Mytilus edulis: one gene and its partner. The protein of the gene in region 1 purifies or fractionates together with the protein of each later gene. This does not show direct contact. Links are inferred from orthologs where the notes say so. Each region holds a gene or a part of one and is shown in the gene's direction. Other genes may lie near its edges.

Region 1 (7,215 bases):
AAACAAGAGTAGACACCATTTGACCAACTGTGCTTACAATACTTGTGCAATAGTTGTAATTGATGTCCATACTACATTGTAGTGTCATACATGTATGATAATACATTACAGCATCCATAGAATTATCATCTTGGTCGTCAATGCCTCTCATTTCTTAATAAATTGCATTTGTTATTTTGGTTGTATGATTTTCTAAACAGACTTTTTTGTTATTAATGGAGTAGAATGTTGAAAAAACAAATGACAAAGATCATTGCTGAATGAAGTACAAGTATTTTTTTAAAGTTTAAATAGACAATTGGTATGGTGTTTGAGTGATTTTAAATAGATATTTCTTATTTGTTTCCAGTACATTAATAACCACTTTATCACACAATCAGTGGCAGATCCAGAAATTTTCATAAGTTGGGGCCCACTGACTGCCTAAGAGGGGGTCCGGCCCACTCCAGTCATGCTTCAGTGATTTCCTATATAATCAACCAAATTTCTTTCCAAAAAAGGGGAAGCCAGGGGCCCCTGGCCCCCTCTAAATCCGCCTCTGACAATACCATGAAAATAAATTAGCTGTAGCTATTTGTTGTATTTCGTTTTACATTGTTTATTTCTGACATAAAACCCGCTTAAAAAAATACAATTTGAAACTAGAAACACTTATCCTAAAAATTGCATTTTAATATTAAAACCAAAGAGAATGAAGAAAGAACACTATCGAGTGTACCTTAATATGATTCTGAAAAGTAATCATTACATTGAATGCTTATAATTACAATGAGATATGGTATGATTGCCACTGAGATTTATATCCACCAGAGTTCAAATATTGTGCATTCAATTTGTAGGTCACCTTTCAACCTTCAACAATGAGCAAAATCCATAGCCTATAGTAAGCTTTAAAATGCTCTAACATGGCAAAAAACATTGTTAATCTAACTGATATTTCTAAATTACTGAAAATCAATTGTTATGATGGAGAAAATAAGTGGCATTACAGTTTATCATGTTTATGTCATGGACACAAAGACCATCTAGGAGTTTTGCAAATGCCTACTTTGGACAGTCAAACGACAAGTAGGAATAAAAAAATCTACTTTAATGTTGAATATATTAAATTGATAATAGATATGGGGAATGTGTCAAAGAGACAATTAAGTAGAAGAAAACAGCCAAAGGACACCAATGCTTCTTATCACAGAAAAGAAAATCCAGCTCCCTCAGGCAGGCTTTAGCTGAACTCTAAAACAAAATGTGTACTAGTTCAGTGAAAATAGATGTCATACAAAACTTCAAAACATAAATGAACTAAGATTGAAAGTCCTACAAGGCTATTTAACATGCATAAAAATAAAAAGATGAGTATAAAAAAGATGTGATATAATTTCCAATGAAAAACTATAGGTTACTGTACAGCCTTCAACAATGAGCAAAACCCATACAACGTAATACAAATATACAGTTGTATAAAGATGAAGGAAAAACAAACGACAACCACTGAATTAGAGGCTGTTGCCTTGGGACAGGCACATATATACATACATACAGAATGTGGTTGGGTTAAACATGTTAGCGGTATCCCAACCCGCCCCCCATACCTAGGACAGTGGTGTAACAGTACAACATAAGAACGAACTATAAAAAAATCAGTTGAAAAAGGCTAGTCATCAGATGGATACAATTAGAAATACTACATAGAGTGGACGTGGCCGGGTACTTGTATATCCCAACAACAAAGGTACATTTGAGTATGATTGCCAATGAGACAACTCAATCAAAGTTCAAATCAAGTGGATGTTATCAATTATAGGCAACTGTACAGTCTTCAACAATGAGTAAAACCCATATATAGTCTGCTGTTAAAGGCCCAGACATAAATTATATGAACAATTCAAATGAGAAACTGACGGCCTAATTTATTACAAAACAAAAAATATCGAAAATTAAAAATTACATGCATGAACCAACAACAACCACTGAACTAAAGCTTAAGGCATAACACTGTACAAGGGTTAAATAATACTATTAATTTGAAAGCATGCCTTTTATGGCTTTATTTGTAAATACCCAGCTATCTATCTAATTGCCAACTGCAGAAATTGTAATATTTCATAAAAGGCTATCAGGAACTATGATACTGAAAATATATGGTTTTTGGTAGGGTTTGTGTTGCTTTCTTTAGTTTTTGTTGTTGCGTTGTGTCCTTCTTTATGACTATAAATACTAGGAAAAAGAAATAACCTAGTAAACTGAATTAGTAAGTCTATCAAGCCTCTAATCCTTGTTGTTAGGGTATATTAAGAAAATAAAATTGCAATGAATAACAATACAGTAGAAAGTAGGTCAACAAACACTATCTCGATGTGGCTATATATGTATGTAGATTTATGTTAAATTGAAGGGCATGTAAATAAAAATAATCAGATTTTCCTGTTCTTTTAGTTAAAACCATTCACAGCCAAAAATATCTGGTGAAATTCTGTTGATTGATGTGCAACTCAGTATATTATATAAAGGCATACGACTACAATTCACACATATGCACAGTACATAAAATCATGAGTTACTTAATCCTGCAAAAATCCATAGAAGAATATTGACAGCAATCGATCAATGCAATACTGCTTTGCTCTACAAAATAAAACAAATTTATTATACATTAAATATTGAATCACCTGAGTAAAAAATTGTCTATAATAATAGTCTGAGGTCTTACTCAATAAAATAAGACCTTGTACAGCTGTTGCATACTTGCAGTGTTTTATTCATATTATAAACCATTACCAGGGTAACAAAGAAATACAATATTAAAGACTTTAAATCAAAGAGGACTGACAGAAGACCAAATAAGGTACACAAGCTCCATACAAATTTAAAAAAGAATGTTTAGAGAGGGAAGGCATCACAGAAAAAAACATGCCTAGTCCTATAATTTTTGCATCTACATGTAAGCAAAAATATAAAATAGTCTTTCAAAGTGTCAAAATTATTTGGACTCTTGGACATGTTTTGAACTTACGATACCAGATAGATGTAAATAGTTCTTTCAATGCCAATGTGAAACATTTCTTCAAATAATATAAATATATGCTCATTTGACATAAATTTTGTACTAAAAAGTGGCTTTTATAAAAAAACAAAAACAAAATTAATCACTTCAAATGTATTACTCATATAAGGGAGCTACCATTTGATTTTTATGGGGGGGCTAGGATGAAATTTGAAAAAAATAGGCAGGACAGGAGTTTTGAGTAAAAAAAATAGGCAGGATGAGACATTTGCAAAAAAAAAAAAGTCAGGACGGCAATTTAGGTAAAAAAAAGTCAGGATAAACTAAAAAAAAAAAGACAGGACCGAACAGAGTGAAAAATAAAAAGGCAGGACAGATATTACAGCTAAAAAAAATTCAGGACAAAATTTTTCATCCTAGCCCCCCCCCCCCTTCCCATAAAAATCAAATGGTAGCTCCCTAAGGGATAGTCATGCAATTGAGGGGTTGTTCCTAACCTGTTGGAGGCAATGTCTTTTTAATACAATTATTAAATTAAAATTATTTTGAAACTCAGATCACAGGGGTTTGTTTCAAACCCTGTGCTCAGATGATCTCAGATGTTCAACTGTTCAATAAATTTATGTTGCGCGACTTTACTGTTTTTGCTTTTAAACCTATCAACTATAACCTACAATTCACCTACTGCCTTTTGACAACATATTAATTACACCATGACCCTTTAACACGTATATGCTAGCTGCATGTTGATGTTCTGTGGTTGAAGTCGATAAAAAAACAAGCACTCATGGAGGCTGCCATTTTGGATGTTGTGGGTCAAACTATCATTTTGGATACTATCGTTACTTTTCATAGGGTCGACGAATAATCCAAAATGTTCCGAGTCTCTGACAGAAATCTGTCATAAGAATTTTTACCATTGCGAAAACCCAGACGTTTGATTACAAATTCAAGCGTCTGGGTAATCGAGACTATTTGTTGTCGTGTGTCTGTGTCATTCGGAAATGACAATGGTTCCGAATGGAACTCCCGCGCTTAAATTCTTAAAAATTAGTTATAAACTAAAGAAAGTTGTTACATTTTTTCATTATTACATAAACACAAATATATTTTATATTCTTAATTTCACTATGATTCAAATATATCCATAGATTTGATAAATTTGTTTTTGTATAGAGGCTATCTATTTCAGTTACTCACAACCCGGAAGTTTCAAAGAAAATTTACAAAATGTCTATGAAGAAAAAAAACACGAATGTGTCATCTATTCTGTTAAATGACAATGAAAACGAAGCACTTTTCAACATCCTCGGTAGAGGTTGTGTGGTAAGAATAAGCAAACATTGAATTACAGGAGATACTCCCTTTTGCTTTAATTCTAAATCTAACCGTTTCTATGTAACATTATGTCAATTTATGATCACCTGTTTATTTATAGTACATCATCATACTAGCTTTAACATTTTTATTTGCCGTATAACATGGGTAAAGTTTAATTGGTTTCCGTTGTTTTACTGTAAACTAATGACAACTTTGCTTCAACAGCAAACAGATTGACCATGTTGAATTGCAAAAAGGGGAACAACTCTTTATTACTAAGTGAATATTTTGAACTCAGAGATAGTGCATGTACTTCATTTGCCACAGCTGCTTAACCCAGATTAGCCCGTTTGGTGCTTCCTTTATAGACACAGTCGCTTCATTTGCTGTAAAATCAGCTGGCGCACATATTCATACACTTCTCTCAGCAGTTTTAACACACCAGTAAGAAAGATGTGGTGTAGTGGTTAGTGCATCGGACTACTAACACAAAGGTTCCTGGTTCGATTTCAGTTTCGGGATGAAAATTTCAGGGACTGAATTTTCAGCTCTCTCTTGACATCATTTGAGAGTATGGTCTTGAGGAAACGATGATAGTCTGTAGGAAGGGGACGATAAATGGCTGACCCATGTTAAGAGAGAGCCATACATGTATCTCTTGCACGTTAAAGACATCGTTGTAGATTTCGAAAAAGAGCAGGCTAATGCCGCTACAAGGCAGCCCTTGCACCCGCTAAGTGGAAAGGGATTAATATAAGTTGTAAAACTTGTTTTCCAATCCACTATAAATATGTTTAACCTAACACACCAGCAAGCAATCAGCCTGTCATAAAAGTACATGTATGATGGGAAGCGTAATTTAGGATAAATTGTCGGAATTTGAAAGGTGAAGATTGAAACAATTTCATTATATGATATACTGCAATGGTTAAATGTGACGATAATAAATTGTAAAGCTACAAATGTACATTTTATTTTCAAATTTTTCAAAATCATCTCAGAGAAATGTTTTTATGATGAATAAGGCCTCGAAAAAAGATTGCATATAAAAAATACATATTTATTATCAACATATTCATTTTTTATATTCTCCAACTTGGAAACCAAAAAGTATAAATTTGAACTTCTGTCGCCATCTTTAAATCAGCCTGTTCAACTCCGTTTACTTCTCAGCCATTTGACCCAGTCACATGATAAGGCTAACTGGGCATATCCCCGAACTAGAACAAATGAAGCAGTCACAGATAGTACAATCTGTGAATATCCCCGAACTAGAACAAATGAAGCAGTCACAGATAGTACAATCTGTGAATATCCCCGAACTAGAACAAATGAAGCAGTCACAGATAGTACAAACTGTGGATAATATGTGGAGCTCCTGATATTCATTTCAGTAGGCATAGGTTTTAAAAGAAAAAAAAGGTAAAGTTCAGAAATGTCAACAAAAAAAATTATTGAGAAAAATCCCATATTTTTCCTTAACATTTTTGGCTACTTTTAAGCAAGCTACATTTGCATGGGATTAGCCTGTGTGCAGCTGAATCCAGGTTCGTTCGCCCTAAAACAAGTTCCACTTCTTTCACTTTTGCACTCTACACATTTGCACCCTTTTAATCGGTTTTGTGTTTAATAATTTGTAATTGAGTTTTGGTTTATATTGTATTGTTATAAAAAATATAATGTTACACAACACATTGATTTTCTGAAAACATTTTTTGTGTGGAATAAATCTTAAATCGTGTTTTGGTTTGAGAGTTTCTATATGTATATATATTTTTTTCCATTCAATGTTCAAAATAAAGTGACATTTTGACAACGGTTTTTTAGGATGAATAAATCTTGATCATGTTTTGGTTAGTGTATTATTGCTATACATATTTTTTTCATTGTTTCTTAATAAAGTGCCTTTTTCATGTTTCTTTTTCATGTCATGCATGAAGTCTTTTTAAAAAATAAATTTGTTGAAAAAATTTTAAATACACTTTTTGGTGCGAATGGACCTATTGGGGGACCCTGTGAGGTGATGACATGTATGGTGTGAATGTGAATTGGGAACAAACTGGCCTGATACAGTTCCAGCTTGGATTTGCCAACCAGAAAAAGGGCATCTGATGAGACATGAAATGATAACATGAAAAGGACATTTAACGAGTTAAATTATATTTTATAATAATTATTCTGCTATTTAAAAAAGTATTTAGAGAACCTGAAAACATGCTCAAAACCCAAAATAACATTTTATGTGGTCAAATATAGTCATTTTCTATTTAAAACAAAGAAAGACAATAACAATGGGATACATGTCAATTTTACTTTAATTCAACTTCAGAAATATGATTTTAATGACATGTACATGTACATGAACATAAGTTCCTTGTCCATATTACAATACATAACGGAGGACTTTCAAAACTTTTATTTAGATAGGGTTATTTCCCTTTTTCTTAATTGCATCAGCCATATTGCAGTGTCTTTTTACATGTACCACAGAATACCACAGAACTACAAAAATAAACAAAAGCTGAAATTTCTAGATTTTAAAGTCAGTATTAAGCATTTTTTTAAAGTTTTGAAATATTGAAATTTCAAAAGTAAAATTTCATGTAAAAGTCGAAATTTCCACTGTAAATTAATAAAAAGTTCAATGAAAATCAATTTTCATATATCATGTATATGTCTCTGATAAAATTCTGAAGAACCACATCAAATTCCAGTAAAGAATTGTAAACATATGAAATATGTATGTTAAAACTAACATCCACCAACACTATTCTTTGAATGGTAAATATTGCAGTATGCTACATTTGTACCTACATGTAGCCCAAAATAGCCAGGTGCAACTCTCTTTCTTTTTATATTCTTAAATCTTAGTCCTGACTACTAGTATGCATGAG
Region 2 (6,831 bases), on another chromosome or scaffold:
GTAAAAGATTTTATGTCTGGAGAAAAGGTATCAAAAGCCCTCTCCATTTTTGCCAAAGTCCGTTATTTGTTTCCTTTTATGTTAAATTTCATTATTTTCGAGTATCTGACACTAGACCACAATTACTCTTCCCCTTTGCTACAATGCATTTCTTGGTAAAAGTCAAATTAAATTTTAAAAAAATACACCGCTTCAAACATGAAATAAATGTAACTGCTTATAGACCATTATTATTCTCATAAAATATGCTTCTAGGACAATCCATTAGTGCTTTTTCTTTTGAAGTAGCATGATACATTTCCAATATTCAGTTTCATGGTCTTGTTTGTAAAAAGGCAGAAGGTACCAAAACGGATAGTCAATTTCAGTATTAAAAAACACACTGACAACGTCATAGCAAAAAATAACCAATAACCAATAAAAAATGTATTGGTAAATCGTTTAAATGATTTTAGAACTATTCAATCTGAAGTGTCACTTTCACATTCTTTGAATCATTCGTATACCCCATCCAACGATGGAAACTCTTTTCTAATTATGTTTACTACACAAGCCGGTATGATTATTCTATGTTTCTTGCCAAGTGGTTGACCTTTCCTGACCCAGCACACAAACTGACGATAAGCCACAAGCCTGCTTTGTCTGTTAGTAAGTACGTCTGGAGCTCTCCCTCCCTTTCAGTAAGACAAAGTTGACCTTTAAATTTTCTGTCAACATTTTTGATATTTTCGTTCAAATAGCTGAAGAATTAGTACGTGGTGAAAGGACATTACTTCCTGAATATTAAAAAAAAAAAAAAAAAGAAGATCGCCTTATATAACTGCAATTGGTAATTATACTATCTATTTCAAAAATTCAAGGTCACCGATTCTTATTTAGAATTTTTACATCATTATTCATAAATTTATTCAATTAAATTAATTCAGTATTCCTTGTTTTTAACAAAAAATATTCAGCGTCAATAATATATTTAATTAAACTGAGCTCATGGAAAATATTAAGATTCCCCCGTTTATCATTCATACGAAATGTTCACACCTAGAAAAGTGAACCGTGACGGCTTAAATTCACTGAGTAAAGATCAAAAGATACAAAATGCTAATCTTTTAATTAACTTGAATTTAACCACGCATTCAACAGGTAGTCACTATGTGTCAAAGTACAATACACATTGTATTTGCGGGGCCGTATTTGCACACTACAAATGTACTAGCAGCACATATTTACTAGCCTGACGTAAAAGGTAAAAAGTACAAACATGCATTTTTAAAACACTACCAGTTATACATGTAAGTTCAAAATATCCGTCGGAAAAAAAAATCATAAAAAAATATTTTATATATATGATTTACTTGTATCACTATAAACATTTCAGAAAATATTAAAATATAAATCGTACATTCTACTTTCAAAATGAGCGCTGTTCCATCTTAATTATTAGTTGGTTAATAGCCACACCAAACGTCGTCTATGCGCTTTAAATAGCGTTATAAGATGATTAACGATTAAGATTTAAAATGAGATTATTTCCACTCCCGGCATGCTTAAAGACATAAACTACGTCACATAAGTCAGGAAGTTCGAAGAAATAAAATTAATAATTCTTAATTTTCTCCTTTATTGCTGTTCATATCCAGATAAAACTTGGTGAATATGTTTTTTATTGTATTATGGACATAATTAGCTGATAAGTAAAAATTCGCGAATTATCCCTTTAAGCAGACAACATTATGTAATACAGGGGCGGGTCCAGCCATTTTAAAAAGGGGGTTCCCCAGTAACCAAAGACAAGGGGGGCAACTACATTCAAATGCATTGACAATCTCCCATACAGACAGGAGGAGGAGGAAAGGACGATAACTCTGTCTGTATGGGAGATTGATGCATTGAGCGTCCAAAAAAAAGGGGGGTTCCGACCCCACCCCCTGGATCCGCCATTGTAATAGATTGAGTGTTTGATGCAATGAAAATCAGATCCGCTGTTAGTTTTAACTACGATACTCTCCACCCTAACCTTAGAGGAGCGTACGTAGCCTAACAACATTGGATAGTTTTGATATTTCCAAATTTGATAAAAAAAATAAAAAATAATAAAAAAAAAAAAAAAGCTGTATTACGAAACTGAACTGCTAGCGCTGTGAAGCATGCATAATTGTTTACGCTTGTAACCTTTGATCTGCATACTATTACTATACTAATATGCATTTCGGGCAAGATTAAATCATATTTTTTCATCCGAGCAGTCTAATTATACCTAAAACGACCCCAAAGATTTGGTCGCTCACCTGGCAGCTTCCTACACACTACAATGCATACCACGAATGATCTAGTGGTTATGAATGACCGAAGGGTTTCCTTTTAGTATTCATTCTCATAGTATCTATATATATGCTCCTTGATTAGCAGCTGTGCTCGGAAACAAAAGTCTTGCAACCATTTGAACCTGATGAACGGTCAAACTACCTTTTGACTAGCTAACGTAACTTGTAAAGATTCAAAGCGATTCTGAGTTTGCATGGTATAATTTTAGGGTTTGTGCCCGTTCATTATTGAAAACGTAATGACAACCTTCAATAGTCTCTTTTGTTTTATCCGTGTTATGTGGTTGCTGTCTTATTGATGCCAATTATATCTCAATCATAGACACATTAATATGTATATGAGAGTCCGAATCCCTCCGAAACTTAGGCCCATCCGAAACTTAGGACCCTACTAAACATTTGACAGTGGTTAACAGCAGAACATTAGAAACAACTAAACATAGGTTGAATAGGCTTTGACTCATCGAAAATCAGATAAAGCATTAACTCATTGAAAATCAGATAAAGCATTAACTCATTGAAAATCGAATAACTATAGCAACTACAAAAAAAAGTCCCAGAGTTCTAATCTAAGACTACTCGCAGTTACTGAGGGCTAGTTGAAATCCCGATTTCCACTAATAAATGCAGAAGATTTCGGGCATGTCAATCTGCATGTACACCCATAAGGGTTTAATTATATAAATTTGATTTTTTTTAAAAAGAAGACATCATTCAACTGCATGTATACATGACCTTGTCATATGGCGAAAGATAAGCGAATATTTATACAGAATGTATGATTTATTATTTTTATTTAGGCCATCGTTGATAATTAAATACACATGAGTAGACAAAAAATACGGCGGAAAATTATCCGGTCACTGAATATTTAAAAAAATATGTCTATACAATTAACTAACAAACAAACAAATACGCTATAACTGTGTCCATATGATTTTCTGATTGATTAGTTAATAATTAATCACAGAACACAGGGGCGGATCCAGAACCTCGATTCCTGGGGGGGGGGGCACCAAAACCAAAATTTATATATTTTTTGAGATGTATACATGTATATATGCGAGTGTGGGTGGGTTTATTTTGTTGTTTTTTGTTGTTGTTGTGTTGGGTTTTTTTTTAGGGGGGTCACATCATCGTAACTATTTCACTTTATACTTTATTTTCCTGTCAATTGATCTTTTTTATATTCGTCCTAAACAAGCATCAAATATTTGCCACTGGACTTTAGACAACCAACAATCAATCAATATTTTGATTATGTATATATTTCATCACCTCTACCTTCTTTTATCTATACTTTTTGGCCTCCCTTCCAGGCTTACTTTTTTGCACAGAATTCTTATCTCTGTAAAACACCTTCATATCCTTTAATATATATCATGTATATAGTTAACCTATTCATTCAACAATTGACTTAAAAAGATAATAAAACGGTTTAATCACTGACTGTATAGATCGATCTATACTGAAAAAAATAGTCTATATCAAAACTCTTATTCTATTTTCTCGTTTTATCCAAGAATAGAACCATAAAAATAGGCCAGAAATTTGATTCGTCGTTATATTTGGATTTAAACTTGGGACATATATCAGCTGAATTTGTGTATTGCCGATCATTTGAATGTTGACAGGTGCTACGTTACTAGTGTATTTATTGGAGCTATTTTAAGAAGAAAATCACGTCATAGACGCATGCGCTGTAAGTTTTTCCGGTTAAAATTGGATTAACTGAACACCCCGGAAATTAGTATTGTAGGTATTATTTGAATGATTATCAACAAAAGATCTAAGTATGAAGTTAGATAGTTTTTGAGGCATCAATCCAAAGGACTCTTTTGGGATTTATCTGTCCCATTTAACTCTGAGATTCTTTATCCAATGAATTCTTGCTCGGAGTCTGTCAAAAATAATGGCGGCATGGCTTCCGGTGCCTGTAAATGTTAATGTTCTCCTCTTTAATCCTCGTAATTCTAACTTATAACGTTTCATTTGAAAGAAGTTTTTCCCTTGAACAGTTATCAAAGTAAACTGTGCATTTTATTTGGTAAATAAATGAATGAAAACACAGACTTTTTCAAACCAAAAAGGGGGCTTGGGAGTGCCTTGTTTATCATGTATCTCTGTACAGGCATTACAGTGTACTGTGTCTCTATAATAAATAAAAAAAAAGCCTGTTAAAGTTCATCCTATTTGCTGTTTTAAATTGTGTACACTTAAAACTTAACGTAACTGAACATCTTGTTTTGTAAACAATAAAAAAAAAATTTTAAAAATCAATCATCAGGGTTCAGGGGTGTGAAAATACTATCAGACTCCTACATTTGAACAACTGGACAAGTAATTATGTTTGTCTGGGTTGCCCGTCGACAAGTAAAAAAATATACATTTGTACAAGACAAAGTTCAAATCCAACAAAAATAGTCAAAACGTATACAAATGGTATAAAGATGTTTAATTTATGTTAAAGAAACCAATGATCAGCAAGTAAAAATATATATTTTAGTCAAAACATCAATGTTCATGATGATAGCTATTAAATAACATCGGAAATAGGTTGATTCCGAAAATGAATAAAAATAAGTACATTTGTATGAGAACCAGAGTCGCATATAACATTGTTTTGGCTTTGTCTATTGACCAGGGACAGTCAATTACGTTTTATATCCGGTATCAGGTCCGTTTACGCCTAATACACTTTCCCACCCTACACGTTCGCACCCAAGGTCTGTTGGCTCCCTACACGTTCACACAAAATTTAAAATCAAATTCCAGTTTAATAATTAGAAAATTATGATTGTTAATTGTTTTAAATTGCTGTGATATAAATACTGCATGTATTTAGCTTGGTATGAGTAAAACATTGAAGATTTTAAATGAAAACCACAAAAGATAAGTGTTTTTAACTCAACTGCTTGGCTCATTGATCTGAAAGTTCCAACAATAATTTAAAACAATAAATTATAGCATTTTACTAACCAAAACATGATTAAGATTCATTCAACACAAAAGTTGATAGAATCTCACTTTATTTAGAAACAATAATTTTTTTTTCAACAATTCACTATCCAAAACATGATTAAGATTTATTCAACATGGAAAAAAACCATTGTCTCACTTTATTTTGAGACAATGACAACTTATATACAGTACTTATAGGAATGCACTTGCCAAAACTTGATTACAAAGTTATTACATTTGTACATACATGTACAAAACTAATAAAAATCAGGCGAGAACTGACCCGGATTCGTTTTATCTATCATTCACCCGATGTGTCATTTCTTTAGATTTTGAATGTAGATTCAGATTGATAAATACTTAATAAAACATAAGGCAAGCAAGACAAAAAGAACGACGAGTCAAGTAGAAAACATGAGATGCAAACAAAGAACAAGGGTTTAAAAAATAAATATGGCAGCGAGAATTTCAGACATGGTGAATATCAGATTGTCCCCTGGAAGGAAATTCAGAAAATAAATTATTTTTCTGTCTTATTTATCATGTTTATAGATCAAAAGTAGTCAACCTTATTTGTCTAAGTTTTAAATATAAGGGACACTTTAATTGCCCATCAACTACATGTACATTTATATGTCATATGAAAAAAAAGTGTGTCAGTTGAGAGAAACAATGAGTTAATTTTTAATTATTTTGTTTTCATTTCTTCACTCACCATTGCTCACTGTCCTCCAAATTAAGTATATGCTGGTTACAATTGTAGCTTGATTTTGCTGTACAAATTTAATCAGGCTAAACAAAAAAAAGTGTGAAACATGCACAAGAACAAAAATTATAAATTAAAAACTAATTTTAAAAGTACAAAATGTATGTAACCAGGGTGAAATTATATATAATTATATATACCAGCTAGTTGGACAAACACAAAAAACTTATTTTAATCAATTTTGAAGATGCTTTAAGCCTTTTAAAGCGAAATAAATAATGTGGTATGAGCATGATAACAGATAAGCATATTACGATCTCAAAAGGTTGCCAAATGTGACTTTTTAGAAGTTTTGCTGATTGTGTGCCAAGTTCTGTGGATAGGTGTAAAAAACAACATTTTGATATTGGATAGAATTTACTTAATTTTAAAATGGATGTTTGATTTTTGATATTCATATACATTGTATACTGTCGATGATCAGATAAAGGTAAAGTGGGGAAAAACAACGACAAATGATTAAAAATGGAAAATTAAAAGTTCAGTTACAATGACTGAATGTACATATAATACATGAGAACCCAAGTTATGTGTCATAACTTTAGTCAACATACACAAGTCTTGGTTCAATCATTTTCAGATTCATACACCAAAATATAAAATACTTACTAACTGTCATTCATTTAAAAAAAAAACCTACAGTGTAAGTAAGAAGATGTGGAATGAGTGCCAATGAGACAACTGTCAATCCAAGTCACATTGACACAATGCATACATGTAGTAAAAGTTACAAATTATCATGATTATAGGTCAAAGTAGGTACATGTATGCTTTGGTTATTTA

The links. The genes of interacting proteins can lie anywhere in the genome.
Region 2: the proteins of actin nucleation-promoting factor WASL-like (region 1) and cdc42 homolog purify together in Drosophila melanogaster (affinity purification with western blotting; 3 studies listed by BioGRID). This does not show direct contact. The link is inferred for Mytilus edulis from reciprocal best matches to the Drosophila melanogaster genes WASp and Cdc42.

Annotation. Positions count from the first base shown.
Region 1 is NC_092344.1:35,959,013-35,966,227, reverse strand, and holds the start of actin nucleation-promoting factor WASL-like, read left to right. Parts: upstream 1-4,188; 5' UTR 4,189-4,231; coding exon 4,232-4,327; intron 4,328-7,215.
Region 2 is NC_092356.1:47,831,602-47,838,432, forward strand, and holds the start of cdc42 homolog, read left to right. Parts: upstream 1-3,802; 5' UTR 3,803-4,016; coding exon 4,017-4,023; exon of another isoform or gene 4,024-4,114; intron 4,115-4,226; exon of another isoform or gene 4,227-4,368; intron 4,369-6,831. UniProt on the Drosophila melanogaster protein: Regulates mbt kinase activity and is also required to recruit mbt to adherens junctions. Together with mbt and Frl, regulates photoreceptor cell morphogenesis. Together with Frl, has a role in the neuronal development of mushroom bodies.